Lonchura striata: one gene and its partners. The protein of the gene in region 1 purifies or fractionates together with the protein of each later gene. This does not show direct contact. Links are inferred from orthologs where the notes say so. Each region holds a gene or a part of one and is shown in the gene's direction. Other genes may lie near its edges.

The links.
Region 2: the proteins of CANX (region 1) and MOGS purify together in Homo sapiens (affinity purification with mass spectrometry; 3 studies listed by BioGRID and IntAct, with this or other methods). This does not show direct contact. The link is inferred for Lonchura striata from reciprocal best matches to the Homo sapiens genes CANX and MOGS.
Region 3: the proteins of CANX (region 1) and TMPO purify together in Homo sapiens (affinity purification with mass spectrometry; 3 studies listed by BioGRID and IntAct, with this or other methods). This does not show direct contact. The link is inferred for Lonchura striata from reciprocal best matches to the Homo sapiens genes CANX and TMPO.
Region 4: the proteins of CANX (region 1) and LRRC59 purify together in Homo sapiens (affinity purification with mass spectrometry; 3 studies listed by BioGRID and IntAct, with this or other methods). This does not show direct contact. The link is inferred for Lonchura striata from reciprocal best matches to the Homo sapiens genes CANX and LRRC59.

Annotation. Positions count from the first base shown.
Region 1 is NC_134617.1:6,815,017-6,822,562, reverse strand, and holds the start of CANX (calnexin), read left to right. Parts: upstream 1-4,274; 5' UTR 4,275-4,361; coding exon 4,362-4,364; intron 4,365-7,546. UniProt on the Homo sapiens protein: Calcium-binding protein that interacts with newly synthesized monoglucosylated glycoproteins in the endoplasmic reticulum. It may act in assisting protein assembly and/or in the retention within the ER of unassembled protein subunits.
Region 2 is NC_134606.1:2,198,900-2,206,887, reverse strand, and holds MOGS (mannosyl-oligosaccharide glucosidase), read left to right. Parts: upstream 1-4,740; 5' UTR 4,741-4,821; coding exon 4,822-4,855; intron 4,856-4,948; coding exon 4,949-5,160; intron 5,161-5,233; coding exon 5,234-5,424; intron 5,425-5,505; coding exon 5,506-7,204; 3' UTR 7,205-7,329; downstream 7,330-7,988. Other genes in the region: CCDC142 (coiled-coil domain-containing protein 142), read left to right, coding at 118-282, 351-505, 584-736, 1,365-1,479, 1,554-1,731, 2,377-2,585, 3,182-3,423. UniProt on the Homo sapiens protein: In the context of N-glycan degradation, cleaves the distal alpha 1,2-linked glucose residue from the Glc(3)Man(9)GlcNAc(2) oligosaccharide precursor in a highly specific manner.
Region 3 is NC_134607.1:55,413,906-55,421,173, forward strand, and holds the start of TMPO (thymopoietin), read left to right. Parts: upstream 1-4,076; 5' UTR 4,077-4,235; coding exon 4,236-4,478; intron 4,479-7,268. UniProt on the Homo sapiens protein: May help direct the assembly of the nuclear lamina and thereby help maintain the structural organization of the nuclear envelope. Possible receptor for attachment of lamin filaments to the inner nuclear membrane.
Region 4 is NC_134621.1:5,720,387-5,728,429, reverse strand, and holds the start of LRRC59 (leucine-rich repeat-containing protein 59), read left to right. Parts: upstream 1-4,917; 5' UTR 4,918-5,042; coding exon 5,043-5,147; intron 5,148-5,492; coding exon 5,493-5,552; intron 5,553-6,067; coding exon 6,068-6,226; intron 6,227-6,531; coding exon 6,532-6,636; intron 6,637-7,221; coding exon 7,222-7,294; intron 7,295-7,718; coding exon 7,719-7,892; intron 7,893-8,043. Other genes in the region: ACSF2 (medium-chain acyl-CoA ligase ACSF2, mitochondrial), read right to left, coding at 1,110-1,198.

The DNA of each region.
Region 1 (7,546 bases):
GCAAGTGGGATGTGGCTGGGGGCTCCTGGGCAATCCTGGCCACGGGACCTCATTGTGCCTCGTAACAATCACATGTTGTTATGGGAGAAGAAGACCCTTCCTTTCCTTCCTTTCCTTTTTTTCCCTTCCTTTTCCTTTCTTTTCCTTCCTTTCCTTCTTCTCCTTCCACTCCTTCCTTTCCTCCTTGCTTATCTTGCCCCTCTTCACTCTACATAATAATAACACCAATTAAGCACTTTCCTTTTACCCTGGGATTGAATGGAATTTCATTTGCCATTAATCACATCCAATGAAACTGTCGAAAGTTAAGACATTCAGAAACTTGACCACTGAAAAATGGTTTATTTTTGTTTGTTTGATGGGGGGAGCTGTTTGTTTGTTTGTTGTGAGTTTGTGAGGGTTTTTCTGCGGTTTTTTTGGGGGCTTTCTTGGGTCTGGTTGGTTTTTGTTGTTTTTGGGATTTTTTTGTTGTTCCTCAAAACAAACAACTGCTTCCAAACACACAAAGCACAATCCCTGAGCCAGACAGCCCCCAGTGGTACCATGCAAGGTGGTACCAACTCAAGAGGTTATCGTAGAGGAATTATCACAGATCCATGAGCAGCTGGGGGAGAGCAGCTATTGTCAGTCTCTGATCTGGTGAATCTGAAACGTGTGAGCTAAAGTGGAAAGACTCTGTTCTAACACAGTGTCTCTCTTTTGGCCTTGCTGCTAATCACACTCAAGCCCCTCTCTGTGCCCTGCCTCTCAGGGAGCTGTGGGGATCGAGCATTTTCTTCTTTGCAAAAGGTTTTGGGTGTTGCTAATGCCCTAAGGACAGGACGGTGTTGGCAGCCTCTTGCTGTTTCTGGCAAGCCTTCATCTGTTTAAATCCAAAGGGTAACCTGTATTTCCCTAGTGAGGGAATAACTCCAGTCCACATGTTGCAACCATGCTTGGATACAAATGCCTCAAGTGTGAGACCCTCAGGGAGGACACAGTTCTGGGGATATATGAGGGCCGCTCTCAAGCAAATCTACACCAGGTCCATGAAAGAACTGGCAGAAAGGGGCACGGTGGAAGCCAGATTTTTCCCAGCAAACTGGTGCAATGCTTATGACAGCCAGAAAAGGTGTGTACAACCATCAAGATTTCCTTACCTTATGTCCAGACTAAACCTGCACCTACTATCTTGTCTCGGGTGACTCTGAATTTCTGCTTCCCAGAAGTTGTCTGTAAAGTTCCTGTTCTCAGGGACACTTCCCAGCTTGTGAAAACGGTATCAGGTGGATAGATTGTCTTCCTCCACCTCAGTGCTCTCTGCCTGTCTCTTTCTATCCATGTGTGAGTGCTCAGTTACTACTTATCTGTTGATTTTTTTCTTTTATTTATCTGCTTCATCGTATTACAATTAATTTATAACACTTTTTACATTCATGTTTATTAGCTCTGAAAATGGTAGGACTTCATTATTTCCCTTTAAGATTATTATCCTCCCCCTGTTCTGATAATGTTCATGCATCTTTTCCCATCCTTCTCTCAAGCATTGTCCCCAGAGATGTCTTTGTAACAAAATGTGTTTTCCATGGAAAGCATTCCAGAGCACATGGACATTGCTCCGTACAGTGATGTGAGCTTGCCTCCCCTCCTGCAGTTCAAAGTTTGAAAGAGCAAAAGTCAGTGTACTCTCACTGGTTGTCTGCCTTGACTGCCTGCTCTCTGCCAGTGTGGTGTCCCTCCTGTCACACTGACCTGCTGGATTTTCCACTCGTTTCTTGCCAGTTTTCCAGAGGAGATGAGTTTGAAAAGATGTACTACTAGTGCTTGAAATGCAAGGAGAACTCTAGCAATGTGGCAATGCCCTGAAGGGATTAAGGAAGGAGGAACACTTTGGAGATAAAGTTAGAGGGAATTATGAAAATACCAGTGGAAAGCACATGACGTTTCTGTCTGATAACACTCAGGAAAAGAAAGTTCCCACAAATAGAATTACACACAGTTCTAGTGCACTAATAAACTGACCATTGCCTCTCACCTCTGAGGTGTGCATATTCAGGCTCTGCCAGTCTCACCACACTGCCTGATTTCTGCCTTTTTAACTGTACTGCCAAAGTCAGAGAGCAACACACTTCCTGTGTGTTTGTCAGTGGGACAAAGCAGATCTGCTGCAATAAAGCCTGAACACACCAAAATTATTTTCCTTGACAATGTCATGTTTGCCATGTGGTATCTGCCATTCTCTTTCTTTCACCTTCCCTGCCCTGGCACTCTAGAGTCTAAAAATACCATCTTCTCAGCTGCCAAAGCAGTTAAATCTCTGTGCATGTTTCTTCAGTTTCCTTTACTCATCCCTTTTGCTTTCCTTCTGGATTATCTCTCTGTTGTGTTCATTCTGTATTTCTTTTATCTAAGTTCAAACATCTCGAAAATCCCCACATAAGATATGCTTTTAGCAGATTCTTTTTTTTTTTTTTTTTTTTTTTTTTTTTTTTTTTTTTGTAACTTACAGTGCTCCTTTCTTCTCGATGACAAAGCAGCACAGGCAGGAGCCAGCTCCAGGGCTGCCTGCCTGTGACATGATTCAGCAGGTTGTAAAAGGAAGGAATGTTTTCTTTTTTGGGAAAGGGTGGGAGAGAAAGGGGAATCACGTGTGTGCATGTGTGTGTGTGTGTGTATTTGACTTCCTGGTGCTTCTGTGATTTCAGCAGGAGTATTATGCTGTTCTGCAGTCATGTTGCAGTTAATAACCTGTTTCAAAAAAAAGGCTTGAAAGATATTTGGTGGAAAAATGGGTTTTTCTAGATTGAGGAGGGCACTTGCTAAAATATACTGTTTTGTTACTCTTTAAAGTACTTTTCCATAGTGTTTTTAGGTTATTCTTTAAGCATTTGATATCTCCTGTGCTGCCTGTTTGTGACTGTTTCCCTGCCTGTCTGCATCTTCTGCTAAGTCTGGGTATAGCTCAACAGAGCAGTTTAGGAACCAGCTCGGTGTCTTTCTGGAAAAATGTGTTTGATTCCAAACTTCAGTGCAAGCAGGGATTTGCTGATTTCATTTATGCTGAGCCTTATTTCTGAATGCTGAGGCCCTGCTTGCTTTGTCCTAACACAGTGGAATTTTCTCTGTGGGGAAACTTATACTGCTGACTCATTGCATCAACTCAAAACAGATTTATGTTTACAAAGGAAAAAAAAAAAACCACCACCCTTTTCTTTCTTTCTTTTCTCTAGTAATATTGGATTTGTTATTCCTGCAGAATACCTTCTATCTCCTGGAACAGGCTGCAGCCCAGAGACCATGCAGGAGCTGGCTTTGAACAGGGTGGTTCAGACCCAGCTTTCTGTGGAACTGCTCTCAGCTGGTGCAGCTTGGAGACAGCACAAAGGTGCTCTAACTTCCAGGCTACCAGAGCCTGTTTTCCTCACCGTGGGGCCGTGTTCCCTGCCTCCCACACGGCTGTGTGTGCAGCAGGACACGGAGACTCCTCAGGCTTAATCCTGACCTCCTTCACATGGTCCATCAAACCCGGCGTCTCCTTCGGCCTGTCTGTCCCATGGGCCCACCAAGGACACTTTTTTCTGTATTTCCCTGTGTTTCTTTAATGATTCGATGTACAAATGTTCAACATTTATACAGTGTTTCACCTCTACAAAACTGCGTTACTTTCCTTTTTAAAATACAGCACAGGTTAAAGGTTCCGGAATTGCACAAGGCCTTTGGGCAAGCAGCTGCTGAGCAGCACTGCCATATTCCGAATACGCTGGAGTCTGCGTCACTGTTCGCTATTTTATTAAACCCTCGGCTTGTAACAGAGGGAAAGACCACCAGATACACTGAATTTGTTGAATAGGCAAGAAAACCCGAACACCCCTTCTAAAGAACGAGAAGACATAAAGATGGCTCTGCTGTTTAACACAGCGGAATTTTATGGAGCAGAGGGTGAAGGCTGTGAGGGGATGGGGGGGCGCGGGCAGGGCGCGAGGCGCTGCGGCTGGCCCCGCCCCCGCCGCCCCCCGCCGCCCGCAGCGCCCCTGGACCGCCACCCGTTGGGACCCCGCCCACATCCCAACGGCCTGCCCGCGCCCACCCAATCAGCCGGCACTTCCTGCAACCCCGCCAACCAATGACAGCGCTCCACGAAGGGCAGCGCCGTTGGGGGCGTGTCTAGAGGCGGGCCGGCTGCTGAGCGGCGGTGACATTAGCCAATCAGAGTGCACAGCCGGCGACTGGGCGGGCGGACGAGCGCGCTGTCCGCCAATGGGAGACGCTGAGCGCCGTGAGGCGGGGGTGGGGCCGGCGCGCGGCAGATAGGCGGGCGGCGGCGGGCGCGCGGGCACGTGACGGAGGTGAGGGCAGCCCGGCGGCGGTGGCCGGGGCGGCGGATGGTGAGTGTGTCCGGCCGGCCGCGCCCTCCCTCCACAGCCGCTGCGGCTCCGCAACATCGGCGCGGGGGAGCCGGCCTCGCCCGCGGTGGCGGGGGCGCTCGGCCTGTCGTGGGGCGTGCGGCGGGGCGCTGCTGGGCCCTGGGGGGTGGGAGGCCCGTGCTTGTCCCGGCCCCATCGCGGCGGTGGGAGGGCGCGGGGAGCCCCCGCAGTCAGGGCGGGAGGGACGGCCTGGGGAGGCCCCTGAGGCCGGGGGCGGGCGCGGGGCTGCGGCGGCGGCGCCGGGTCCCGCCCGGCCCCCGCAGGGCTCGGAGCGGCCTGGGGGGAGCGGCGGCTCTTCTGGTAAGTTCTGGGAGCGCCGCTCCGGGCAGCGCCTGGCGCTAGGGCCGCGTGGTGGAACCGGGAGGGAGGCGAGAGTCGCACGTAGATGTGGGCAGCGCGTGGTTTAGGTTTTAGCTGGCTACGTGTTCCATGTCGGAAATAATCTTGAACGTGCTCCCCGTGCAGGGGAGATCAGGAGGTGGGTGCAGAGCCCGGCGTGGGCCTGGCTGGGGCTGTGTGAGGGGAAGGAGAAGCCTCTGGAAGGGGGGAGCTTATGGCGAGGGGCTGGAGTCCCAACAGGTGAAGTGCAGGCGACGAATCTGCAGTAGGAACATCTGAGAATTTAAAGGCATTGAAATGCCTGCTTTGATTTTTGTCCCTCAAATATTGTTTGCATTTGGTGCCTTTAAAATAGTGTATAAATGACTTCTCATTTCTGGCTGAGGATTGTATTGTGTGCTTTTAAAAGAAAAATAAAACCCACACCATTGAATTAAAGCATGTACAGCACACTGCTTTCTTATCTGTACTATTCTAAAGTGTGAACTTTCACATGCAGGTTTGTGGTTCAGAACTTTCTAGGCTACAGAAAGAGAAATGCTGCAGGTGATTTGATTGTGAAGGGTAGTGGACATGTATTAATGGCAGTAGTAATGGTAAAGGTCCAGACCTAAAGAATCAGTCTTAACATAATTAATGCTGCAGAGGTTCTGCAGGTCATAGTGGAAAACTCTTTCTGGAACTTATTTAGAGAATGTTAGATGTCTGAAAACTGGTCTCTAGGCATGTAATGTATTTCTAAATGTAGTGTGTTGACTTCACGTCCTCAAGTAAACATATCACATGGGTGTTGTGGGACAGTCTTGCACGTTGTGGTTTTGGTTGTTGCTAAAGTACTGCAAAGAGATAGCAGAACTATAATAATGTATGAGCTAATCCAGATAAAATAATGGTTAAATATAGGTTGGTATATATATATATTACTCTAGGCTCACACTGACTTCAAAGACCACTTTATTGTTAATTAGGCTGTATTTGATGGGCTTATGCAAAACACTTAATAAAATTATGAAAAGGTCTGAGTAAAACTATGTGTTTGTATTAACTTCTAGTATTTCTAGTTTAACTAAACATTATGAAGAAGATACTTATACAATTTACAGGCAGCATTGCAGGCTGTGTATGATATGTAAACTGCTTTTTGGGATCAGCTGCCCTCCTTGGAAGGGAATCTAGTGTAAAATAGTAAGAAAGTTTTCAAATTCCATTGGAAAACCCTCTCTTGTGGTGTGCTGTAGCACTTACCCTGAGTAAATGAATAAATCCTTTACAGAGAATACACTGAGACTTGTACTTAGCTCTGCCTTTTACTTCCTTTTCTGGCCTTTGACTTTCTGCTTCTGGGAGTAGTCATAGTGGCAGCCTGTTCTTGTTGGAATCAGTTCTGTAACAGGACAAACTTGAATTGTTTTCTAGGTGTGATGGTCTCAAAGATCTTGGGATCCCTCCAGATCTGCCCCCACTAATATCATTTTCCCAGCAGCCCATCTGTTTTATGAGGTCAAAAAGCCTCATGGTTCTGTCTTACCCTCCAAGGACTTCCAGTTCTGCAGGAAGGATATCTGTGCTTACAAACGGTATCTGCTTTTTGCTTCTGTACTGTGTCTGCACTGTTGTACATTATTTTTAGAAACTGGCATATTTGAAATGCCTATTAAAAGCAAGCTTTGTTGCTGTCCCTTTTCACACCTAATCCCTTGCCTGGTTTGTGCTCTCTAGAGCCCAAACAGGAGGCAGCTTTTTTTTGTGGGGCTGTCCAGAAGAGGTTTGGCTAATCCTTTCCAGGAGACTTCTTCCTCATGTAGAAGTGTATCCCAGCCACTTATTACTGAAGAAAAAAAAATGTAGGAGGGACCACCATGGAGAGTTCTTGCCTCTCTTCTCTTGTTAGTAACATGGTTTTCCTTAGCCTTGTCTGTTGTTCATTGAGTTATGATGTTAAAGGGAGAACCTTCTCAATAGTGGAAGTTGTCCATCTGAAAAACTATTTCAGAAGAAAAAGTGTTGTCTGCATTATATGAGTTGTTGTATGAACCTGAACATAATTTTTTTATATCCCCTTTTGAGGTGTGCTGAGGCCCTGTACTAGTTGTTGAAATTATAGGATTTGGCCACACAGTTTTCAGCTGCACCATAGTGTCTGTCCCCCAAATCTGCCTAAAGAGAAATCAGGCAGGTACAGGTGACAGACCTGCACTTGAAACTGTGATATTGAGCTGCCAACAACTTTATTTCCTCTATCCCTGGCTACTTACTTTCACTGGTACTGCTACAACTCTTTGCTTTTGCTGCTGGGTTAGCCTGGGGTATTGATGCAGGGTTAAAATAACATGGCAGAAGGACTTCGAGCCATCTTAAACCAGCGGCTGGTTCATCATGAGGCTGTGTAAACAGTTACCCAGGCACTGCAGAGGAGGCAGGATGTGGAAGGCAGAGGGATTGTGAGATGTAAAAGAGATTTCCTCTGCTCTTCAGTAATTCTGACTTTAGGAAATTAGTGCACTACCAAGTAGGGTAGCTGAGCCTTTGCTCAAAACCAACAGAACTGTCATTTGAGAGGGAAAATGTATATCTGTGTCTCAGCCTTTCTGTTCTTGCCTCCTTGCAATTTTTTTGTGTTGTGATGAATCATCTTTATGTTTGACTTTAAATTTTTCTTCTCTAATTCTTGCCTTGCATGAGGCGTTGTGCTTGTTTTCATTGACGTGCTTCTGCTATGAATACCACACTGAAACCCAGGGTTGGGAGCACAGGACTTTGCTAGCGGGTTTTGTTCTTCCTTTGCTGAAGTCACTCAGCTGAGA
Region 2 (7,988 bases), on another chromosome or scaffold:
TGAGAAGGGTTGTATTTGGTGTGTGGGGTGAGGGAGTGGGGTGTGCTGAGAAGGCTTGGATTTGGTGTGTGGGGTGAATCTGGGGATGTTGGAGCTTTCTGACTCTTTCTCCTCCAGATTTTACCCGTGCTCTGGGCTCAGGGCTGTCAGACAAGTGCTTGGAAGCCCCAGGAGGTTCCCCAGGGCCGGGCTGCAGCCGCACAGCTCAGCAGCTCCGGCGTCTCTTCCCAGCCCTGGCACTGGCCCTGCGCTGCCTGCGCCTGCTGCCCCCCCGCCCGCACGGTGAGAGGGGTCTGGGGTTGGGGCAGGTGGGTCTGGGGATCCTCTCCCGTGCTGACCCCCACCCGCAGCCCCTCCCGGGGGTCTCTGCCCGCGGCTGCAGGTGCTGGGCCGGTGCCTGGCGGCGGTGGCGGCCGCCCACGCGTGGCTGACGGGCCGGGCCGGGCGGTACCTGGCGGCCTGGGCGCTGCCTCAGTTCCTGCTGCTCACCCAGGGAGACCTGCAGGTACGGGGGGCACAGCGGGCACGGGGGTCTGGGGGTGGGCACAGCAGGGCTGGACTCGCTCCTTCTGCTCTCCTCCAGGTGCTGAAGGCAGAGGTGGAGCAGCTGATGCTGCAGGTGAGCGGGACCTTCCCGGAGCCGGGGGACATTGCTGGGGACAGCCACCCTGAGTCCCCTTCCCCGTGGGAGCTCCAGCTGTGCCAGCAGATCCGTGACGTGGCCAACAGCATCCAGGTATGGCGGGACTGTGGGAGGGTGGTCCTGAGCATGCCCGTGTCACCCCGTGTCACCCCGTGTCACCCCGTGTCACCGTTAGCGTTCACAAACACATAATCATGGGATATGATTATCTGCACATGCTTTTATTAAGAGCTCTGGGAATCAGGGGTACAGCCCCAAATCTGACTCCGACACGGCTTTCAAGCTGAATATATTTTATATTCTATCCTTATGTAACTCATATATTAATTATTAAACTTACATTGTTCTATTGTATACATTGACATGAGTTTCTCGTGATCTTTCTTAAGTTGCTGACCACAGTTTCTCATGATTATTCTTATGATTAAACAGTAATTATATTTAATTAGATTTATTTTATTTTATTTATATTTATATTTTATTTAATAGATATTAATTTTAACATATATTAAATATAATTATATTTAACTAACTAAACAATCATCACATCTAACAATTCTATCAATTATCATGCACTACCTACACAGTGCAGTTCTAGCAAGTACGAGTTCTCCATGTGCTTAGGGTGTTTATTTTTCTAGGGCCTACTAAGCTGATTTTTCCTTTTAACCCTTCATCCCCATGATTTTAAAACCCTTTTACTATCAACCCCACGTCCCAGCTCTTCTCGGGGGACGTGCTCTGGATGTTCTCCACCAGCTGCAAGCGGCTCTCGGCCGAGATCTTCGACCAGACGATGCCGCTGGGCCGGCACTGGCGGCTCGGGCCCCGTGCCGGTGGGTTTTGGGGCTGGGGGGGGGTTTTGGGGGGGATTGAGGGGCTCGCTGATCTGTGTCCCTGTGTCCCCCAGAGCTTCCCAGCTCCCCCAGCGCCTACGCGGCGGCCGCGGTGCAGGCGGTGCTGGGGCAGGTGCTGCAGGGGGCCCAGGCCCTGCCCCAGGATGCCCAAGTGCCCACCTTGGCACGGGTCACCACGGCCTTCCTGGAGGCCTGGATGGATCACATCCTGACCCGCCGGATCAAGTTCAGGTACTGGGAATTGGGGGGCCACAGCCTGTGGGCAGTGCCAGGGGTCCCCGTGGGGTCCTGGGGGTCCCAGTGGCAGTTCCAGGGGTCCCAGTGGGTTCCTGAGGGTCCCAGTGGGGCCCTGGGGGTCACAACGGGAATTTGAGAGGTCCTAGTGGCAGTGCTCGGGTTCCCAGTAGTAGTTTCAGTGGTCCCAGTGATGTCCTGGGGGTCCCAGTGATGTCCTGGGGGTCCCAGTGCAGTCCTGGGGGTCCCAGTGGAGTCCTGGGGGGCCAGTGGCAGTTTCAGGAGTCCCAGTGATGTCCTGGGGGTCCCAGTAGCAGTTCCAGGTGTCCCAGTGATGCCCTGAGGGTCCCAGTGGCAATTCCAGGTGTCCCAGTAGCAGTTCCAGGGGTCCCAGTGATGTCCTGTGGGTCCAAGTGGGGTCCTGGGGGTCCCAGTGGCAGTTCTGGGGTCCCAGTGGCACTTCCAGAGGTCCCATTGGCAATTCCAGAGGTCCCAGTGGCAGTTCCAGGGGTCCCAGTGGGGTCCTGGGGATCCTGGTGGCAGTTCCAGGAGTCACAGTGAAGTCCTGGGGGTCCCGGTGGTGGTTCTGGGGATCCCGGTGGCGATTCCGGGGGTCCCACGCCCACCGTGCCCCTGTGCCAGCCTGCAGGGTGCCCTGCAGCTGCGGCAGGACTTCCAGGCCGTGCGGGACCTGGTGTGCTCGGAGCGCTCCGGGCTGGCTCCCGAGGCCCGGCGGGCGCTGCGGGCGCTCGGCGTCTTCCGGCACACGGACGCGGCCGTGCGGTGCCTCCTGCAGCAGCCGGGGGGGCCGCGGGGAGCCCCCCGGGGCTGGGGCGGCCTGCGGCGCTGCTGTGAGAGCGGGGAGGGAGCGGGTGGGGAGGGGATTGGGATGGGATGGGGATGGGGATGGGATTGGGGTGGGATGGGATCCATGGGATGGGATGGGATGGGATGGGATGGGATGGGATGGGATGGGATGGGATGGGATGGGATGGGATGGGATGGGATGGGATGGGATGGGATGGGATGGGATGGGATGGGATTGGGATGAGATGGGACTGGGGATGGGATGGGATGGGAACGGGATGGGATTGGGATGGGATGGGATCAATGGGATGGGATGGGAACAGGGTGGGATGGGAACAGGGTGGGATGGGATTGGGATGGGGATGGGAATGGGATGGGGACGGGATGAGACGGATGGGACGGGATGGGATGGGGTGGGATGGTAATTGTCTGGGATGGGATGGGATGGGAATGGGATGAGGTGGAGTTGGGATAACACAGGGTGGGACAGGGATCAGGAGACTGGGACAAAGATGGATGGGGACAGCGAGAGGGACAAGGATTGGAACGGAGCTGGAGATGGGGATAGGAACCCCCATCAGAAGCAGGACCTGATCTACCAACCCCCATCCATCTAGCCAACCTCTCCATCCCTTCCCAGGCTCAGATGAAGGCGCCCACCCCCTGGAACAATCCGTGGATCCTCTCCCTGACCCGGACCCTCTGGAGGGGCCAGGCCCGATCCCAGGGCCGCCCCCGGAGGCCGCGGAGGCTGATCCCCCGTCCCGGCCCGAGTCCCCGTTCCCGGGCAGCCAGCAGCAGTGGCTGGCGCTGCGGCTGCACCGCGCTCGCCGCTGGCGCGTGCCAGGCCTACCGTGTGTCGGGAACAGCCCCGAGGGCTGAGCCAGAATAAACCTGGAAATGGCACGGCCGTGGCTGTGTCTGCGGGGTGGGATATTGGGGTACGGGGCTCTGGCATCCCTGTTGCTGGTGGGCACAATCGAACTGGAATTTTTACGGGGCTAGGGGGTCCTGGAGGGGCTGGGGGTGCAGGGTGGGATTCCCCTGGGGGTCCGGGGGGATATTGCAGGTGGATAGCTGGAGTTCCAGAGAGGTGCTAGGGAAAGCTGGGGCTCCTTTGGGTACCCCCAGAGAGGCTGGGGAGGAGATTAACAGACACGACAAAGTGGGCATCAGGTGTGGGAATCCAGGGATTCCCTCTGGCTGCCCTGGCACCCTGGCAGGGGTCAGGAACCCCCCTGGACAGAGCCCCCAGAGACACTGGCTGTGATCTCTGGCCATGGAAAAGAGTTTGCAATCTTACAGGATCAATTACCAGCTCTGAGTGTTTGATATCAGTAATAATTAAGTATGGCACGGGTGCAAAAGTAAAATTTTAGGATTCTAGATGGGGGGTCCAAAGGGGACAAGATGGAGGAAATTGGGTGTGCCTTGTCCTTTTTCCTCCTTCTTCATGCCCTCCATGTCTCACTGTGGTGTTGGCATTTTTCTGTTGGTTCAGGCTGGGGACACACTGTCCAACGTAGGTGACAGATATTGGCACGTTATTGTAAATCCAGCCCAGGGAGTTTCTGGTATTTAATGTTTGTCACATCCCACTGAGGGCAGAGCCCCACACGCTGCCCTGCAGGACAGAGCTGGGCAGGGCAGCAGAACATGTGAGAGATCAACAGAATAAACAACCTGGAAACCAGCACAGACCAATGATGGCTTCTGCTTTGGCAGCGGGGCTGACAGACAGAGACTTTCTACAACCTCAGAATCATCAATACCACGGATTCCCACAGTGAGGAGCGGGGCCGGTCGGGCCACCCCGCGGTGTCGTTGTCCCGTTGTCCCCTCGGGGTCTCCTGGAGGACCGAGCCTGCGCGTGGTCCTCCCGCCCGCCAGGGGGCGCTGTGCGACGGGCCCGGCCGCCGCCGGCGCAGCGGTGACGTCATCGGCGCGACAGCCCTGATGGCGGGCGAGCGGCGGCGGCGCGGCGGGGATGGACCGCGGGAACGGCCCCGGGAGCGGCTCCGGGACCGCGACGCCAAACTGCGGCCACACCAAAAGACGCCGCGAGGCTCCGGCCGGGGCCGGATGCTGCCGGCGCTCGCAGCGGCAGCGCTGGCGCTGGGTCTGGCAGCGGCGGCGGCGGCCGGGTGGAACCGGTGGAGCGAAGCCTCCCGCCTCGTCACCCCGCACCCCGCGCCCCCCGCAGTCCCCCCCGGCTCCACCGGGCCTCTCGCGTCGCCCACCTATTTCTGGGGCACGTACCGGCCTCACGTCTACTTCGGGATGAAGACGCGGAGCCCGCGCGCTGTCGTGACCGGTGAGGGGCGCGGGGGGCTCCGCCCCGCCCTGGGGCTCGTCCGGGCCCGCTGCCGCCTCCGGGACCGCCCGTGACACCTCCCCGCCCCTCCAGGGCTGATGTGGCTCCGACACGGCGGCAGCTTGCGGCACACGAGCGAGCAGAACGACGGCGTGTCGCGCTACGGGTGGCTGATGCACGACGGGGAGAATTTCGGCGTGCAGGAGATCCGCGACGAGGGGCTGGTGCTGCGAACCGAGTTCGTGAAGCAGCCGGGGGGAGAGCACGGCGGCGACTGGAGCTGGCGGATCACGGTGAAGACGGAGGTGAGGGGGCGAGAGCGGGAGAGGGGTTGGGATGCTGGGGAGCTTTCATCACCCTCCTCTTCCTCCTCCCCAGGGCAACGGCCCGGCCCCTCTCCTGTCCCTCTTCTTCTACGTGGCCACGGACGGGCAGGGGACGCTGCGGCCGGTGCTGGAGAACGGGACACGGCTGGCGGCCGTGGCGGGGACGGCGGAGGAGCTCGGGGACTTCACCCTCACCTTCCTGCCCCCCACCGGGGAGGCCGGGGAGGGACCCAAGTATGCCAGGTGAGTGTCGGGGCTGTGGCCCCAAAATCCCTTCCGTCCGCCGCCGTGTCCTCCAGCCCTGACTGTTCCCTCCCCCCCCAGTTACAACTTCCTGGCCGCGGGCGTGCCGGGGCTGCACCGCCTCACCGACCTGGTCCGGCACAGCCTCCGCGACGGCTCCGTGTTCTCCCCGCCGGGCCGTCCCCGCCGCCGCTATTTCGGGGTGTCCGGCACCGGGGGGCTGCCCGGGGAGCCCCCGCGGGGGCAGCTGCTGCTGCACCAGGTGACACTGGAGCCGCCGGCGACGCTGGAGGCGGCGCTGGAGTCGGGCAGCGCGGCGGCGGAGCGGCGCGGGAGGCTGGCGGGGCCGGCGCTGAGCGCGGCGCTGGCCCGGCACGCGGCCGCCTTCGAGCGGCGCTTCGAGGACACCTTCGGGCTGGGGGCGCGCGGGGCGTCCCTCCCGCAGCGCCGCTTCGCCCAGGCCGCGCTCAGCGAGATGCTGGGCGGCGTCGGCTTCTTCCACGGCCGCTCCCTGCTGCGCTCGGAGCGCCGGGAAGAGCCGGTGCCCGGCGCGGAGGCCGCGCTGTTCACGGCCGTGCCCTCGCGCTCCTGCTTCCCGCGGGGCTTCCTGTGGGACGAGGGCTTCCACCTGCTGCTGCTGGGCCGCTGGGACCCCGCGCTGGCCCGCGACATCCTCGCCCACTGGCTGGACCTCCTCAACGCCGACGGCTGGATCCCGCGGGAGCAGATCCTGGGGGAAGAGGCGCGGTCCCGTGTGCCCCCCGAGTTCGTGGTGCAGCACAGCGAGACCGCCAACCCCCCGACGCTGCTGCTGGCGCTGGAGCGGCTGCTGCCCGACGCGCCCCTGCCCTACCTGCGCCGCCTCTTCCCGCGCTTGCACGCCTGGTTCCAGTGGCTGAACCGCACCCAGGCCGGCCCCGAGCCCTTCACCTTCCGCTGGCGTGGCCGCGACACCGACCCCGAGCGCTTCCTGAACCCCAAGACTCTGTCGTCGGGGCTGGACGATTACCCCCGCGCCTCGCACCCGTCCGCCCAGGAGCGGCACTTGGACCTGCGCTGCTGGATGGCGCTGGGCGCCCGCGTGCTGGCGGCGCTGGCCGAGCGCCTGGGCGAGCCGGCCGCGCCCTACCGCGCCACGGCCACCGCCCTGAGCGACAACGACCTGCTGGACCGCCTGCACTGGGCGCCCGAGCTGGGCACCTTCGCCGACTTCGGCAACCACAGCGCGGCCGTGGCCCTGCGCTGGCACCGCCCGCCCGGCGGGCCCCCGCCGTCCCCGCGGCTGCGGCGGGAGGTGCGGGAGGCGCCGCGGCCGCGCTTCGTGGACGCCCTGGGCTACGTCAGCCTGTTCCCGCTGCTGCTGCAGCTGCTGCGGGCCGACTCGCCGCGGCTGCCGGCGCTGCTGGGAGCCATGCGGGGCGAGCGGCAGCTCTGGACGCCCTTCGGGCTGCGCTCGCTGGCCCGCGACAGCCCCTTGTACCTGCGGCGCAACACCGAGCACGACCCGCCCTACTGGCGCGGCTCCGTCTGGGTCAACATCAACTTCCTGGCGCTGCGGGCGCTGCGCGGCTACGCGGCCGCGGCGGGGCCGCACCGGGAGCGCGCGGCGCAGCTCTACCGGGAGCTGCGGCAAAACCTGGTGGCCAACGTGTTCCGGCAGTACGAGGCCACCGGATTCCTGTGGGAGCACTATCGGGACAGCGACGGCGCCGGGCAGGGCTGTCGCCCTTTCGCCGGCTGGTCCGCGCTCGTCGTGCTGGCCATGGCTGAGGACTATTGATGTGGGGGTGTCCCTGTGCCCCCGGCGTGCTCAGGGCCAGGGGAGGTGGTGGGGGGCTGTGGCGGAGCCCCCCCATTGCCTCCCCTGCAATAAACCCCCACGAATGTCGCCTCTCGCCGCCCGTGTCAGGGTGTCACAGTGTCGCCTTTGTTTTGCCCCTTCCTGTGCTGTTGGAGGTCGCCCCCCAGCCCAGTGCAGCCATCACAGGGGTCGGTGGTACTTCCACATCTCTTTAATGGTGGGAGAAGGTGCCGGGACCACCCACCCCCACGGTGTCGGGCACCCCCCAGGCAGCAGCACCGGGATCGCAGGGGAGGCCCCAGGAGCAGTTTGGAGGGGAGCGGGTTCCAGCAGGACCCCGCCACACTGCCAGGTGGGTGTCAGTCTAGGTGAAGGGCCCCCAGGGGCTCCGTGATGAGTCCAGACCCCACTTGGGGGTCTTGGTGGGGGGCTCAGACGGGCAGCATGGGTGAGCCAGGCCCCCCGCCACCCCCTGCTCCCCCACAGCCCTCAGCCTCGCCCTCCTCCTCCTCTAGGCCCCGGCCCACCTCGATGCCCGAATCCCCTGTGAGCCGCCGGTGCCGCCCGGGGCATCCCCCTGGCACCGCTCTGCTCCCCCCGTCCTCGCCCCCCTGGGTGATGGAGCAGGGGTGGCCCTCGGCCTCACACAAGTCCGGGGGCACTTGTTTGGGGAGGCCCCCGCGGGCCGGCAGCTCCTCGGGCAGGGGCAGGTCCCAGCTGGCACCGGTGCCGGTGCTGCTGGAGCCGTAGTCACGGCCGGTAC
Region 3 (7,268 bases), on another chromosome or scaffold:
TCTGTACTTTTTGTCTCTTCCTGACTTTTAAATACTGCATTTTGTAACCTGAAAAAACACAGCTGTTTTTTCTTATGGAATTGTTACTAGCTAAAAAACAAACAAACAAACAAACAAAAAAAAAAACCTGCAAAAACTTAAGTCCACTTTAGCTTCAAAAAACAGTGGAGCTGAAGTAATAGCTTATATATGGTAAATATAGCTTCTGTCTGTGTTTGACAGAAATAAATATCCAAATAATTCTGGTTTGGAAATCATTCATTGTAGGAAACCACCCTGAAAACTGTCCATTTCATTTCTGACAGTATGCTTAAGCAGGAGCTGACACTTCTGTCTTCAGTCCTTGTTGGTATAGGCCTTTGATGAACATAAGATCAGCAGTAAGACGTTTTAAAGCAGTTGTACAAATCTCTTTCCTTGCCTGGGGACAGCCATACAGGGCTGGGCATCCCTTTATTCACATGTCTGTTCACTGTTTCAGGTGACAGTGGCAGAGCAGTGTTCCCAGTGGCTGCCAGCTCTGGAACTGCTCTAAAAGCAATATGCTCCATTATACTAAGGCGTGCTTTCTTTCTTATCACTTTTCCCTTTCTACTTAAAAACAGACATTTCTAATGAAAAAACCTAGAATTATTAAAAAGCCACCTAATTTTTCTAAATTAATCAAGATTGTGGGAAAGAAATAATTGTTTCTAGAAAGTGTAGTTATGCTGTGCTATAATGATTAGACAACTGCTTATTTTATTTCTAGTAAATATTTCCAGTTTCTATTGCATGTCTTACAGGGAATATAATTTTCATAGTGAAACCTACCAAGACTGAATTAATACTTCATACAGCTTTTTACATTTCCTTATCAGCTCAGTCTAAGACAAGAGCATGTCTGTAACATGTGCTTAAATGACTGCGCTATGAATGTATAGTCTTTGTGTTATCTATTGTGAGACAAATGTTATGTATGAATGCAAATTATACATCTGTCCTTCATTATAGGCCGTTTTCCAGACCCTCCACTTAATTTAGGTTACTTTTTTGAATGCACATATATAGAAATACCCTTTTTTTTTCAGCATACTGCAACATAAACTATTTATCTAATTTTTAGAGGTGGCATTAGAGAAATCACAAACTTAGGAAAACTCGAGCCGGAAATCTGAGACAGTTTTAAAAGGCATTCGGTGTTTTCATGTCAAAGATGAATGTATGCTTGAAAAATCTCTCATGCTCAGAAAAGCTAAGAAATTCCAGATATTTGGGAGGGTCCTACAAAGGAAGGATTTTTGGCTTCTCTTTTCAGCATATTTCACATTTTTAGGCAAGCTTAGAGCAGTCTTTTAACCACCGGAAATGGCCAGTCTCACAACATTTTCACATTTTTTTCCCTAAACTTTGCTTTTGTCAGCATTTATACTGACAAGTAGGAAACTGTAGCTACCTGTTTCTCCAGTAGAGGCAGGTATTCTGGTCTTCAAAAACCAGAATTTGCAGTTAGGAATAAACATTCAAGTACTGGAAAGCTTCACAGAAGGAAGTGTAGAACCAATAAAGGACAGGTTTGTGCCGAGGACTTGGCTTCCCAGAGAAGTCTGTTGCTCCTAAGAAGAGTGACACTGAAGTATTATATCATGCTTCTTTAGGTTTGGCTGCTTTGGAAGCAATTAGAGGTAACAAAGAGTTCCATGTCAGTGCAAGACAGTTACATAGAGTAACATAATAAAGTAATTCACAATAAATACATTTTTTCTTTATAATTGGGGAAAATTACTTTAAATATTTAAATGGACTGTAAATATAAACTTTAAGCAATGTTAATGAGAGCCACAACCTTAAGTGGCTCCGCAACAACTATACTAGAGTTTGAACAATAGCCAAAACATATGATAAGCTGCTATCTTGATGCTCCTATGCCAGTTTCATCTGACAGCAAAAGCAGAAAAACACAGAACCAAGATAAGACAAGTCAGCCTATCCATTTGTTATGACCAAAGCTGAACTGTGAGTGTAATTGTAGGGATTTACTATTTTGTGCTGTATTCCTGTAGGGGTTTTTTATGCTACACTTAATGCATTAAAACCAGGTCTGCCATCAATGTATTCAAGCTCAGTGGTTGTACTTCCTTCCATTCCTGAACTGGCACTCACAAGAAAAGCCAGCACCAGCTGTATTGCAGGATCTGAACAGTACAGCAAGTTGTGAATGGTGCCTGCACTAAGAAGGACTGTCAAAAAACAAGCTTCAGGGCTATCCTACTATTATTCTCTTTGGGGATGTTACATGGTGACTACACCAACTTTTTAGATTGTATTTTCACTATTAACTTTGACTGAAATTTCCCAGACCCAGTTATCCCTTATGCTGCTTTAAATAATTTTAGACTTGATATGAGTTAAAGTTGTTATTTTTTACATTAGTATGATAACTGAAGGATCTCTCTAAAGTATATTGTGCAACTTGTTCCATATCTGGAAAAGAAGCAAATTCTTAAAGGTAGATGAAAGACTATTTCCCAAGCCACCTAAAAGCTTTTCAGGGTGAAAAATACTATGCTTTAAGTTAGCACTATCAAATTTGAACAGGAATTAAATTTCCTTTAAGTATTTTTAAAACACCTGTCATGTAATGCCCATGTACCTGGTAAATTGTTGGGTAAAATAGCTGAAAATATATATAGAACCATCTAATTTGTTCTAGTCAAGCTTAAAAGTAAATGATAGTAGTCAATCCATGTTGATTCATTACTTTTTACTGTGTGCATGTGTGGTATTAATGGAGGAAGATGTTTCTACCCACTGTTCAGTCTCGTTGCCTAACTGAACAGGTTAAGTATGTACACCAGGAACCAAGCACTTTCAGATCCAAATAATAAAGAACTTCACATGACTGCCACCTCACAGAGCTACTAGCACAACGAAGTAAATTAAATGTCCCAAGCTAAGCTTCTCCCTCCTCTTAATTATTTTGTTACATCACACCAATTCTTCAGTGGGAAGTGTCAAGCTTCCTGTGGGTGGGTCCTTGATCTGTCTCGAAATTACCTACCAGAAAAAATAATCCTCATCACCTTCATCTAACTGATACTGAGCTATGGTAAGGTAAATAGGAGCAACAGGCACCACGAGAGCTTCTTGACGGAGCACACAACAGTAGTGGAAATCCCTTTTCCTAACAGCAACTTACAACTCTTTCTGGAATACAAAGGAGAGTAGGTGCAAACACCAACAATCCCATTTCAGATCCATGACTGATGGAGAAATTGAAATAGCTACATCTAAATTCTTATTTTTGGTATACTGTAAGGTGGTTCTCAAAAGCATAGGACATGTAGTCAAATCTAAACACTAAACCTTTCCCATCATAAAACAGAAGCAGTGCGTGTTCCCAGCAAGCAGCAGGTAAAACACAGAAGAATTTAACCCACTTGTTTAAAGACTGTAAGACTGCAGTGTTGAACTTAATCGAACTTCTCCAGCAGGAGCACACTTGCGACATTTTATTAGTCGACTTCACAAACGGATAAATAAAACGACTGAGCGCTTTTCAAACTCTGCGGTACTGTAGCTGCGAGTTCGGGGTTTGCGTTTAAGCCACCGCAACGGCGGCAGTCACACAAACAGATTAGCTACTGATTTCCCGGCTGGATTTCTTCTGGAGCCCGCTAGCCAAAGGGTTGGGCGGCTGTCCCGGGGGAAAGAGCTGCCGAGCCGCTCTGCCAAGGCCGCAGGTGCCTCCGGGGCAGAGGAGGCGGCAGGTGTGGCGGCAGGACGCCGGGATCGCGGCAGGTAACGGGGATGGCGCTCACGCCTGCCCCGCGGCAGGGAGGGGCGCTCCCGGGGCGGGGACACACCTGTCACCCGAGGGGGCCCCGGCGGCTCCCCCGCCCTGCCGGCGCCCGCGAGCGCCGCCCCGCGCGCCGCTCCCGCCCGAGCCGAATTTAAACTGCGTTACTGTCCCTCGCGCAAAGCACCAACGCCGCGGCTCCCGCGCCGCCCGCCCCCTCTCCGCCCGCCGGCCAATAGCGGGGCCGCTTCGTTGCTCTCCCCACCAATCAGGGCGCCGCTTATTGCTGGCTGGGAAGAAGCGCTCGGTGCGCGCGCCCGCCCGCTGTGGAGCTGGTCCCTGGCGCGGAGCAGGCGAGTCCTCCTCCTCCTCCTCCTGCCGCTCCCCCGCCCCTTCTCCCCGCGCTTTGTTGGTGCCTCTCCCGGGAGAGCGGCGGTGGCGGCTGCGGCCGGCGGCGATGCCCGAGTTCCTGGCGGATCCGTCGGTGCTGACCAAGGAGAAGCTGAAGAGCGAGCTGATCGCTAACAATGTGAGCCTCCCGGGCGGCGAGCAGCGCAAGGACGTGTACGTGCAGCTCTACCTGCAGCACCTCACCGCCCGCAACCCGCCCGCCCTCGCGCAGCCCGACTTTTCCAGCGACGAGGAGCGGGAGCCCACACCGCTCGGCGCCCGGAGCCGCGGAGCTGCTGCCGCCGGGCGGGTGAGTACCGCTGCTCCTGCCCGCGCCGCCTCGGCTTCCCGGCAGCCTCGGGCCCGCTTTCCCGCCCGAACGGGGCCGGCCGCCCCGCCCGCCCGCCGGGGCGCGGCGCGCCGGGGTCCCCGCACGGGGCCGGGAGAGCGTCCGGCTCGGCCGCGGGCGGGATCGCGCCCGGCCGGGACGCTCCCTCCGCCTGGGGGAGCGGGGCAGCGGGGCGGCCGCCCCGCACCGGGGACGAGTTGGGACGGCGGGTCGGTGCCGGGGGCCGCGGGCTGCTCCTCCAGGATGCGTCCCGCCCGGAGCGCCCCTTGGAGCTGCGGGGCAAGGCAGCGCCAGCGCGCGTGGAGCGTGCAAACAGCCCCCAGACTGTAAACTGGGAAACCTTTGCTGTAGCTTGGCGAGCGCTGTCCTAAGTAGACTATTGCTGTGTTGGAGGAGCGAAGCAAGAGAGCTGTACGAGGTTGCAGCTTGCTCAGGAAAGGACTCCGGTCCGCTTGTTGTACGGTTGTACGGCAGCAGCGCTGGTCGGTGTAAATGCCTCTAAATGAAAGATGAAGCTGCGCGGTAACAGCTAGTTTGTTTCGCTTAATGATGTGGACTGTTTAGTGTAAAGAGGGTCTGCTTAATGTAGACGTCTTGCTCGTACCTCTAAGATGTGTATTACAGCAAAGCGCCTCTGGTGCCTGTTCTGTTCGTCCACTGTGCTTGTTTTCTTAGACTTTACGCGTGTGATGAAAGAGGGAAAGCTGATGGCATTTGAAGTTTTTCCTCTTTGGGAAAATGTGATTTTTTTCTTAATTTTTCATAAGTGTACTATAAATTTGCATATATTGAGAATGCAATCTTGTAATTGGTGTTGTAAGATGTCTAATCTCGAGAAAAGCCTTGGATAATGATTATCAGCTTCCGGAGTCCTAATGTGTGTGATAGTGAAACTATTTAATTGTGTCTTAGATACTGTGTTTCAAAGGTCATTAGTTGAGGGCGTGCTGAGAAACGGAGTCCTTTGAAGGTCTTTCACGCTTTAACTTTCTAAGAGAGCAGTTCTTAAACTAAAAAGTCGAAAACTGTAACTTCAAGAGGAAGAGCTCTCTAAAACCAAGTTATTTACCTTATTTCTGTCTATTTCAGACACTTACTTGGCATTTACTGAATGCAGTTACAGTGAAACAGATATTTCTCTGACTTAGAGTGGTCTGCTGATAGCATTCATAAGCTGCTTTTGAGTAAAACATGATGAGCTTGAATCTGACTTGTTTCATGCTTGCTGGAGGAGGAACATATCAGAACTGCTAGTTCCTCTCCTAGATAGGAGTTTTCCTTTCAAGAGGGCTTAAGTTCAAACAATTGTGAGTGAGTTTTTTGATGTTTACAGAATGGGTGGTTCTCCTACACTTTTGTTGACAATATCTGGAAGGCTCTGTGTTATTTATGCTTGTGTTTTAGTATCAGAGCACTGTATCATCAGAAGTTCCAGAATTTCGGCAAATAATCTAGTGAGAGCTGCTCAGATTTGGGTCCGTTGTGCCCTGTGTTGTGTCGCCTTCCCCTCGGTACAACAACCAACCCCAACCGAAACACTCAGAAAAATCCCAAACAATACCTGCCAAGTAAAACAAACTTGGATGATCTGTGCTTGTTTTCTTCTTTGTGCCACTTGAATAGTTCTGCAACTACTTGTAGCCTGAGTAACTTGTCCCTGTTAATGTCTTTTGGCATAAGGGTACTTCTGTGATCAGCTGTCGTTCAAAAAGATTAGCACAGGTGTCTCCAGAATAATTTGCCCCCAGAACAATTGAAAAGAAGAGGAAGAGCGAGGGACATCCCAGGGGACTGGGATTCTGGTGAAAAACCAAAGCAAAATATCTTGGTGAGTTTAAGAGAGGATAGGAGGGACAGCACTGACATTTGTAAGAAGTTAGAAATAAGGGACAAGGGTGGGAAGCTGGAACTGCAAGCAGTGATGGAAAGGCGGAATGAAGTAAAAGAACGGGCCTCCCCCGCCCCTCTCTGGGCCCGCTCGCCCCTGGCTTTATTAGGAGCAAACAGCGCCTGGCCTCTCGGAGCCCGCAGCCGCCTTGGGTTGCCGGCCTCGCGTGCGCGGAGCGGCCGGAGGGTGGGGCCGGGCGGGGCCGGGCGCCAGGGGGCGCGCTCCGAGGCGTCCTGAGCGGGGGCAGGCAGCGCTTGTCTTACGGCGGGTGTGAGCAACGCCTGCAGGCAAGCTGAATACCCACGCTGCAGTCCCTGAAAGCTGTACCGGGTCTCTTAATGCTGGCATTGGAGTTTCGACATGGCTGTAGTCATTAGGAATTTTGAACTGTCTACACTGTCATTTTAGTGGCATTTTTCTAAGTTCTGAGCATTTGATAATGCGTTCAGGTGCTTATTTTCTATTGATAAAAGCTGTACAGAGACAAAATCCCATCGTTTCAATTATGTTGCAAATTATGTTTTGATTCTGTCACTCTTCCATCTTAGCTCTATCCAGCCCAAGAATATATGGCTCACTTTGGCTATATATTCCTACCAGAACAGGAAAGGCTTTTAAAATCACACCTGTTTGTGCCTCAATCTGATAATATTGTTGGGAGAAGCCAGCTTCTCCAGCTCTACTAATGTTTTTGACCAACTTTTTTGCTTTTTTCCCTTAAGCCTGTTTGGCATAGTGGTATCTGAGGACAGTGACTAGCTACACAAGACACTATTGCTTCAGGGTGAACCATCTGCTTCTGAATGCCCCTTGTCCTGGTTAGTTATGAGCTGAATGTCAGCAAAGATAGCTCACAGGAAAAG
Region 4 (8,043 bases), on another chromosome or scaffold:
TGTATCTCTCTGCCCTCTGCACTCTCCCTGCCAAAGGGATAAACAAACTGAGGAGTAGAACTTAATAAACTTTTTTTATAACATTACTAGAAAGAGTTTACTCTCTAAATACATGCTCTCTCTCCCCAAGGGCTTTGTGTTCTTGTCCCTCAGTTTCAATTCTGGGCTGAAGTGAGCTGCAGTGAATGTTGTCATGCTTCTCTTGTGATCCTACTTCCTAAGAACTGATTCTGAGAAGGCAATCTTCACACAACTATGATGAAGTGGCTTCAACACCTCACTCCTAATGTCAAACCAGCTGAAAAAACCCACCTAAACCCTGTCTGTGAAAAACAAGGAATGCCCCGCCTGATTCTTGGAATTGCTTACTGGAAGTCATCCCAGTGATTATTACTCTGAATACCAGCGAATCAATCAGAGCCTTTCCCAAAGCCAGATACTCCCCATTGCTGGTTTTTCACATGAACTTGCTCAAAGAGGCACCACTGAAGAAAAGCAAGGCAAAGAACTGGCCTGACTTCCCAAGCCCCAGAGCTTCTTGGTGTCCCACACTGCTTGGCCACCCAGCTACCTGGGGGCTGCAGGACCACAGGGGGACAGGGACACTGACAGCAAGTCAGAGCTCTGGAGGAAGATGGGGAAGCCATTTGATAAACTTCACATTGCTGCAATCTAGATGGAGCCGCTGCACAAAGTTCAGCCCTTGCCATGCCTTCACTTCCCTTCTCCTGCTGTTCAGGGCTCATCCCTGCCCCGGCCCACTCCCAGGTGGGGTGAAGCAGATCCAGGGGATACAGCCTGCCTTCTGCCACTTTGGAAGGGTCTGGGGATGACAAGGGTGAATATGCCCTCCCTGCATGCAGCCACTGGCCTAGCTGGATATTCACAGCACTGATAGTCCCTGTCCCCCATCACACATGGTCTCCATCCTCTGCAGCCTCTGTGCCCTACAGCTCCCCGACCCCAGAGCCCTCTGCCCCCTATAGCCCCTATTCCTTCTCACCCACAGCCCCCTGCACCCTTTAATTCCCTTACAGCCCCAGTCCCCTACAGCCCCACAGCCCTCTACCCCTACATCCCGCACCTCCCGCTCCCCAGCCCGTCCCTACCTGCCCGGCGGGGCTCCGCGCTGCCCGCCCGCCCGGCGCAGGAGCTGCAGCCCGTGCCGGGCCAGCGCTGCCAGACGGGCCACGGCCATTCCTGCAGCGGCAGCACCCCGCAGCACCCCGCAGCACCCCGCGGACCCGGCCCGGCCCGCGCCGCCGCTCGGTGCCCCGGGCGCCGCGCCCCGCCCCGGCCCCGCCCCGCCCGCCGCTCCCGGGACCCTCCGCCGGCCGGGGGGAGGCACCGGGGGAAGGGAAGCACAGAAAGAGCCAGCCCTGCCCGGTCCGCGAGAGGGACTGCGGGCTCAGACGGAGCCCCCAGAGTCCCGCCGGGCATCTCCCCATCCATCCTCTGCCGGTCCCCAGCCCAAGCTGCCCACCACAATTTCTTCCCTGCACATTTCTGGTCCGCTATCTCTTCTTGAGATAATGGGCAGGCCTGCTCCATCAGCCTGACCCAACCACTGTTACACCCGAATAAGCCTCTCCACTCAAATGAGTAGAGACTGACTTTGGTGCAAGACAAACACCATTATTTGCCTCTACCTGTCTCCACTTGTATCACTTGGTGCCTGAGCCCTGTGAGTCACCAACTGCCCTCCAGCCCTATGCCATCAATGAGTTATCAGCTAGCACCTCACTAACACCTGTATGCACTCCCTGTGGAGGAGAAGAGAGCAGCTAGGAACGGCAGAGCTGCTCCAGGGCTGGGCAGGCTGAGACCCCCCTCACCTAAGCACAGAGGTGTGGGGCTGCTGAGCTCTGCATCAGCACTGATGCTCAAGAGGTGACACAGTGTATGTGTATCACATCATGCACAATGGCGCTGACAAAGAGCGTAAATATCAACCTCAGAATGGTGAATCTCAGACATCAAAGCCAAAACTGTGCTTGCGACAGAGTGAAATACCAACTGCCACCAGATCTCTAGTGTCTGACACTTGCTTTTAGAAATTAAGGATTTTCCCCAATGTGCATCTAGTTCACAAGGAATTTGTTTGGTGGCAGCAGTGACAATGTCTTCTTTGTTAGGGAAAGGGAGAATTTTTTTCCCTTGAAATGTGAAAAACTTGCCTTGGCTGCAGAGGGCAGCCAGAGATCTTCTGAGCGTCTGGGAATGGTCTCCAACCCCAGGCTGGCATGGTCAGCTCAGCCCCAGTAAGGAGCATTAGATCACAATTAGATCGACTGTGTTCATCCCTCTTCCCTCAGCATTTCCTGCTCCATTCTCCTTGCTAATGTTCTTGCAGCCCCTAGCAGAGTGCACAGATGCACCTTGTGCTATGCTTTGTCTTTGTCTTGTGGAGCTTCAAAGTCTTTCTAGCCTGCGTGCACGGATACCTCCTCCAGTCAGCCCCACTGGACCCAGCAGCCAGGTGAGTTTCTGGATTCCCACAGGGGATGTAAAGCTGTGTGACATCTGTGGCCAGAAGTTGTCCTTCCACTGTTTGGCCAGAGCAGAGCAACTGTCTTTGTGCTGAAGGAGCATCAGAGCTCTCAGTATTGTATAACCACAGAGAAAAAAAAAAAAATCAGTGCAAACGTGTAATAAATAAAAATAAAGATGACTTTTGGCTTGATCTTCCCACATTATGGTTTTTAGCCTAGATGGTGAGTCCCAGTTAAAGAAAGAATTAAACCATGAATTATGCAGAAATGTCACCCTGACATTTGAGTATGTTTGTTTGAGATGGTAGTGATTTTGGCTAGAGATCAAATCAAAGGACCCCTGAAGCAGTAACATTTCATACACCATTGCATAAGGTAGCATTCATTTCTAATCAAGATTTTCAAATCTGTTAATCACAAACAAGTAGGTAGGTTTTGTAACCCATTACACCCTTGTTTGGTTTTGCCAATGGCTCTTGGATTTTTCAAACACAGATTTTAGTCTCTGTATTTCCCAGATATGCAGAGGGTCTTGCTCAGGCCCCCTCAGAGCCCCTCTGGGTTTTGTTCTCCAGAGCAGGACTGTCTTTGGTGCTGTTCCATGGAGGGGAACAGCACTGCACATCACATGAATCCCTCTCTGGCTCAGGGTAAGGAGTGGATCAGTAATCAGCTGCTGCCTTGGAGATCTGGTTTCCCCACCATTCCCTGGAGCAGGTCTTCTCTGGCTCTTCCCTCCAACAACAAACGTTGTTGTGAAATCTGATGTATGGAGGGAGCTTCTTGGATAAGTAGACCTCACTCCTCTCAGATGAGGGCTCTGTGATTTCTGCTCACATTTGGAAGAACAATAACATGCTCTGAAAATCTTCCATAATCTCCTGGACAGGAGACACCTTAAACTCAGGCAAACTTTATTGTAGTTTCTACGAGGCAAATCCTTGTGTGCTACTTTGGCATGCCTTTGTTCAGAGAATCCTGTGGCCTCAGTTACCTCAGTACTGAGCAAATAAATTGGTTTCTGGGTGTTGGAAGAAATTCACTGGCAGCTTACAAACAAACTAATGCATCCACAGAGTAGATGGGCTGCAATAGTGAAAACATCTTTGCAATGTCCCAAACATCACATATAGCACAGAAGTCAGGAAATTCATGCTGTAATCCCAGTACCAGGTAACACTAATTTGGCTCTGCCCCAGGCTCCTTTCTCTTTCACTGACTTTCTCCACAGAGTGCCCTGCTCCTGTGGGACTGGAGCCTTGGGAGCAAAGCAGGAATATCCATTAAGTGTCCCTCCTGTGAACAGACATTGTGGGGTAATGTAACAGCCAAACTGAGAGGGAGTTCAGCCCCTGGATTATGGAGAGTGTGGACAGATATAAGCAGCTATATCAGGTATTGCAAAACAAGGTATACATCCTTGGGTTTCTGTTGGGATTATCGGCCATAAACCAGTTGGTTCTCTGTGTGTCAGGTGATGTGACTGGATGCAAAACCGCCCCTGCTCATGGGTCTTGGCTGGGAGTTCTCCTGCCTTCTGCAGGGCTGTTTCATGTAGCCCAGATCTAAACTCCTGCCAACCTGGCCAGGGTTCCAGGGCTGGTGGGACAGTTGCAAGGATGCCCTGAGCTGTGCCAGTGTGTCCCAAAATAGGCTCTCCCACCCAGTGTACAGGAGGCCAACCCAAACCCAGAGTTGTAGTATTTGATTTATTTACAGTTCTGCACTGGATGGCAAATCCACAAAGCCAGCATGACAACTGTCAAAACTTTTGACTGTTTATATATTTTAGCAAACAAAAGGCATTAATGTTCATTGGCTACGAGTTATCTGGTTCTCATATCAATTAGTATTCTATCTTCCAATGCCTAATGATTTTTTTCACTTCCCATACTAATTAGTCCACAGTCTTGTCTCTCTTCTTTTGGGTTGGTGGGTTTCTTGGGTCTGTGTCCATGAATAGGTGGTCATAATCTACTCCTGACAGAACTACCTTTTACCTGCTTGGAGCTGATTCAACCCAATTGCTGAGCCAGCTTTATTAGTTTCTTCCTTATCTTGGAAATTCTGCCTAATGTTCTTGTAGCCCATAAATCCTGCATTCCTTGTACCCACTATCAGTAGTACATCCTTCTTCCCAAGCTTTGTTAACATCCCATTACATCTGAGATCATCGCATCAACATTAAACCCTAACAAGACAATTCTACCAACAAGTAATTCGTCTTTCTAAGCGCTCAGAGCTTATTAGCGGTTGTCTGCTTCGGGGATTAAATCTCCTTTCTTTTTGCTTAGGTTTGAAAGAGATCGAGCATCAGGTAACGTTCTTTCTTAGGGTAACTCGGTGTCCTGCGGCGCCGGTGCGGCCCCGCTCCGGGCCGGCAGCGGGCGCGCTCGGGGCGGCTGGCGGGGCCCGTGCAGACGTGGCCGCGGAAGTGGGTGGCGGGGCCGGGCCGTGCCACGCCGGGCTGGGCTGTGCCGTGCCGAGCCGTGCCGAGCCGCTCCGAACCCAACCGAGCCGCATCCCCCGCGGGCAGCCGCCGACGGAGCCATGTCGCGGGGCAGCGGGAAGGGGATCAGCCTGAAGGATAAGCTGGATGGGAACGAGCTGGACCTGAGCCTCTGCGACCTGAACGAGGTGCCGGTGCGGGAGCTGGTGAGTCTCCGGCCGTACCCCCCCCGGCGGGGCTGGGGACCGCCTGCCGGTCCCCGGGAAGGAGCAGCGTAGGGGAGCTGGATGTGCTGGGGGCTTGTGAGCTGGCCTGCAGGTATTGAAAGCAGCGAGGTTCTGTCCCGCGGGCCCGACAGCCGCTAGTCACTGCTGTCCCGGGATAAGAACCTTTTTGGATACAGAGATGGATCCGGAGATGACGTGGCCTCGGAGCAGCCGCGGGGGATGGACAGACTGACGCGGGAGAAACCGCAGAGGCCGAAGCAGAACAGGTGTCAGAGGGGGTCGGGTGAACCTCCATGTTCATTCAGTGCTTTATTTGTCTTTCAGGCCGCTCTTCCGAAAGCTACTATCTTGGATTTGTCCTGTAACAACCTCATTTCCTTGCCGGTAAGGTGCTAGAGAGCCTCCGTGGGGATGTGTCTGCTGGGAAATATTTGGAAAGATAGCTGGTGCTTCAGGAGAGGCTCACCAGGCACCGTGGAACTGGCATTTTCACTGCCCTGGGGTGGCTGAATGACTCGTTGTCAGTGACGGGTCAGTGCTGGCAGTGATTTGGCTGAGGCAGGAGAGAGTACAGGGTTGAACTGTGTGAAGATTGCAGTACACTCCTTCCAGAGCATCCCCAGGTTAATAGAGAGGACTTTCATCCGCAGTGGAGACTTGGGTTTGTTCCTGTCATATTGTCATCCATAACCTTCTCAGTCTGTCTATCTGTCCTACTGTGTCTCACCTCCATCTTCCAAGGCAAAGGAGGAGAGTAATCTTCCTCCATCACAGTCTTGTAGTAAATCAAGGATGTGTGCCTGATGCAAGGTGCAGGCTGTCTCCACATACTTCCCACTTAGGTTCTTCCATAAAGGCGCTAACCGGCTTTCTCTGGGTTTTCTTTGTTTGGGTTTTAGTCAGACTTCTGCAGTTTGATGCATCTGGTGAAACTGGATTTGAGTAAAAATCGGTTGCAACAGCTGCCCTTGGACTTTGGCCGCCTGGTCAATCTGCAGCACCTGGACCTTCTGAACAACCGCTTGGTCACCCTGCCAGTCAGCTTTGCACAGCTCAAGGTAAAACTGTTTGCTGGGCAGTTACGTAAAGCTTTGGGATGCAGCCCAGGGTCTTGTGATCCTGCTCAAGTTGATTTCTCTGGTAAAGCATCCATCCTGCTGACTACTCATTCCAAAATTCAGCTGGGTCTGCATCACAGCTCAGTGAAAATCCTCTCAGTCTATTGAAAACAACTCTGCTCATTTTCTGTACCTGTTTCATTAATGTGAAAACTAAGCAGTTCTTTGCTTCTGCTTCGGATCTCTTAAATAATTCCAGGACTGCTGTGCTCTTACAGCCTCCCCTTTGTTGTGATTTTTTGCAGAACCTGAAGTGGCTGGATCTGAAGGACAATCCCCTGGATCCTGTCCTGGCTAAAGTGGCAGGAGACTGTCTGGATGAGAAGCAGTGTAAGCAGGCTGCTGTCAAGGTAAGGAGTCTGGTTTTATTGTATTTTTTTTTTTTTTTCCTTTAATGGCTTTGCCAGTGATTCTTTCTCTGCTTAGTGAGCTGGGTATCTGCTGCAGGAGCCCAGCCCAAAGTTTCTTCAGGGAGTGAGGTGCAGGTCCACTGCACTGACTTCCCTATTGCTATGCTTGTGGAGAGCAAACACCCGGCTGAGGAGGATGCTTCTCCATTGGTGGAGTGAAGAGAGGATGAAATACTGGTTCCCAAGAAAATAGAGGCATAATAAGACATAGTAATTCATGCCTGTGCTGATAGCACAAAAAGCTCTGGAGAAGTTCTGGCAAACATAAATAGAAATGTTCTGTGATCCTATGTATCACTGAGCACCAGTTTGCCATGTTTGTTTTTAACAGGAGGATTGGCTTTTTTACAACAGAAACTCACACAAGTTGTGAGTTCTTTCCAGTGCTGTAGCTGTAGGGATAGGGGAGGGTTGGGAGTCAGCCCCAGCTGCTTGTTCTAAGCCATACTCCATCTGTTCTGTTCTGAACTGACTGTGCCACTGGGCTTCTGCACAGCCCTCAGGTTGTTTTCTTGGCTTTTTAAGGTACTGCAGCACATGAAAGCAATCCAGTCCGAGCAAGATCGACAACGGCAGCGGAAACTCCAGGCAGAGAGAGGTAGGGACAAACAGCCCCCACGTGCAGTCTGCTGAGGACTGCTCTTGGTCTAACACATCCAAACATTCTGATCACCATCTAATAAATTGCCATCTAACATATACTTGTAGCCAAAGTAGTCAAAGCACTCAAGGAATAGTAGAGTAAAATGGCTGGAGGGAGAAATATAGCAGGGGAGTAGTGTATGTGATTCCTTGGCCTGAGGAATAGTTAAATCTCTAGATGGAATGTGCTATAGGTTATCTACGAAACTTGAAAGAAAAGCACAGCAAAATGCAAGGTATGTAATACTAAATAAAATTATAAAAAAAGATGATAGTTGTTTAATTGGCTTCCTCATTCCAGTTGGGACAATAAGGTAGTAAGGAAAATGGCAGTGACAACCCTCTTACATAAAAGGGGAAAACTTGCTGTTAACCCCCAGAAATGGAGAAGAAGCGTGAAGCAGAACAGCGAGCAAAGGAGGCTCTGGAGAGAGAACTGCGGAAGCGAGAGAAGGCAGAGGAAAAAGAGCGCAGAAGGCGGGAGTACGATGCTCAGAAAGCTGCAAAACAGGAGATGGAAAAGAAAACAAAAAAGGAAACAGTGCACACCCGAAGTAAGTAGCGTCCATTTTGGGTGGGATTGTGTCAGGTTTCATTGTCATCAGCTTGTGATGCTGCCTGAATTGCTTTCATGCAGCCCAGGTACTGGGAGACTGGGAAATGGTGGGACTGGGACAGTAGGTGGAATTTAGAGTTCTGATAAAC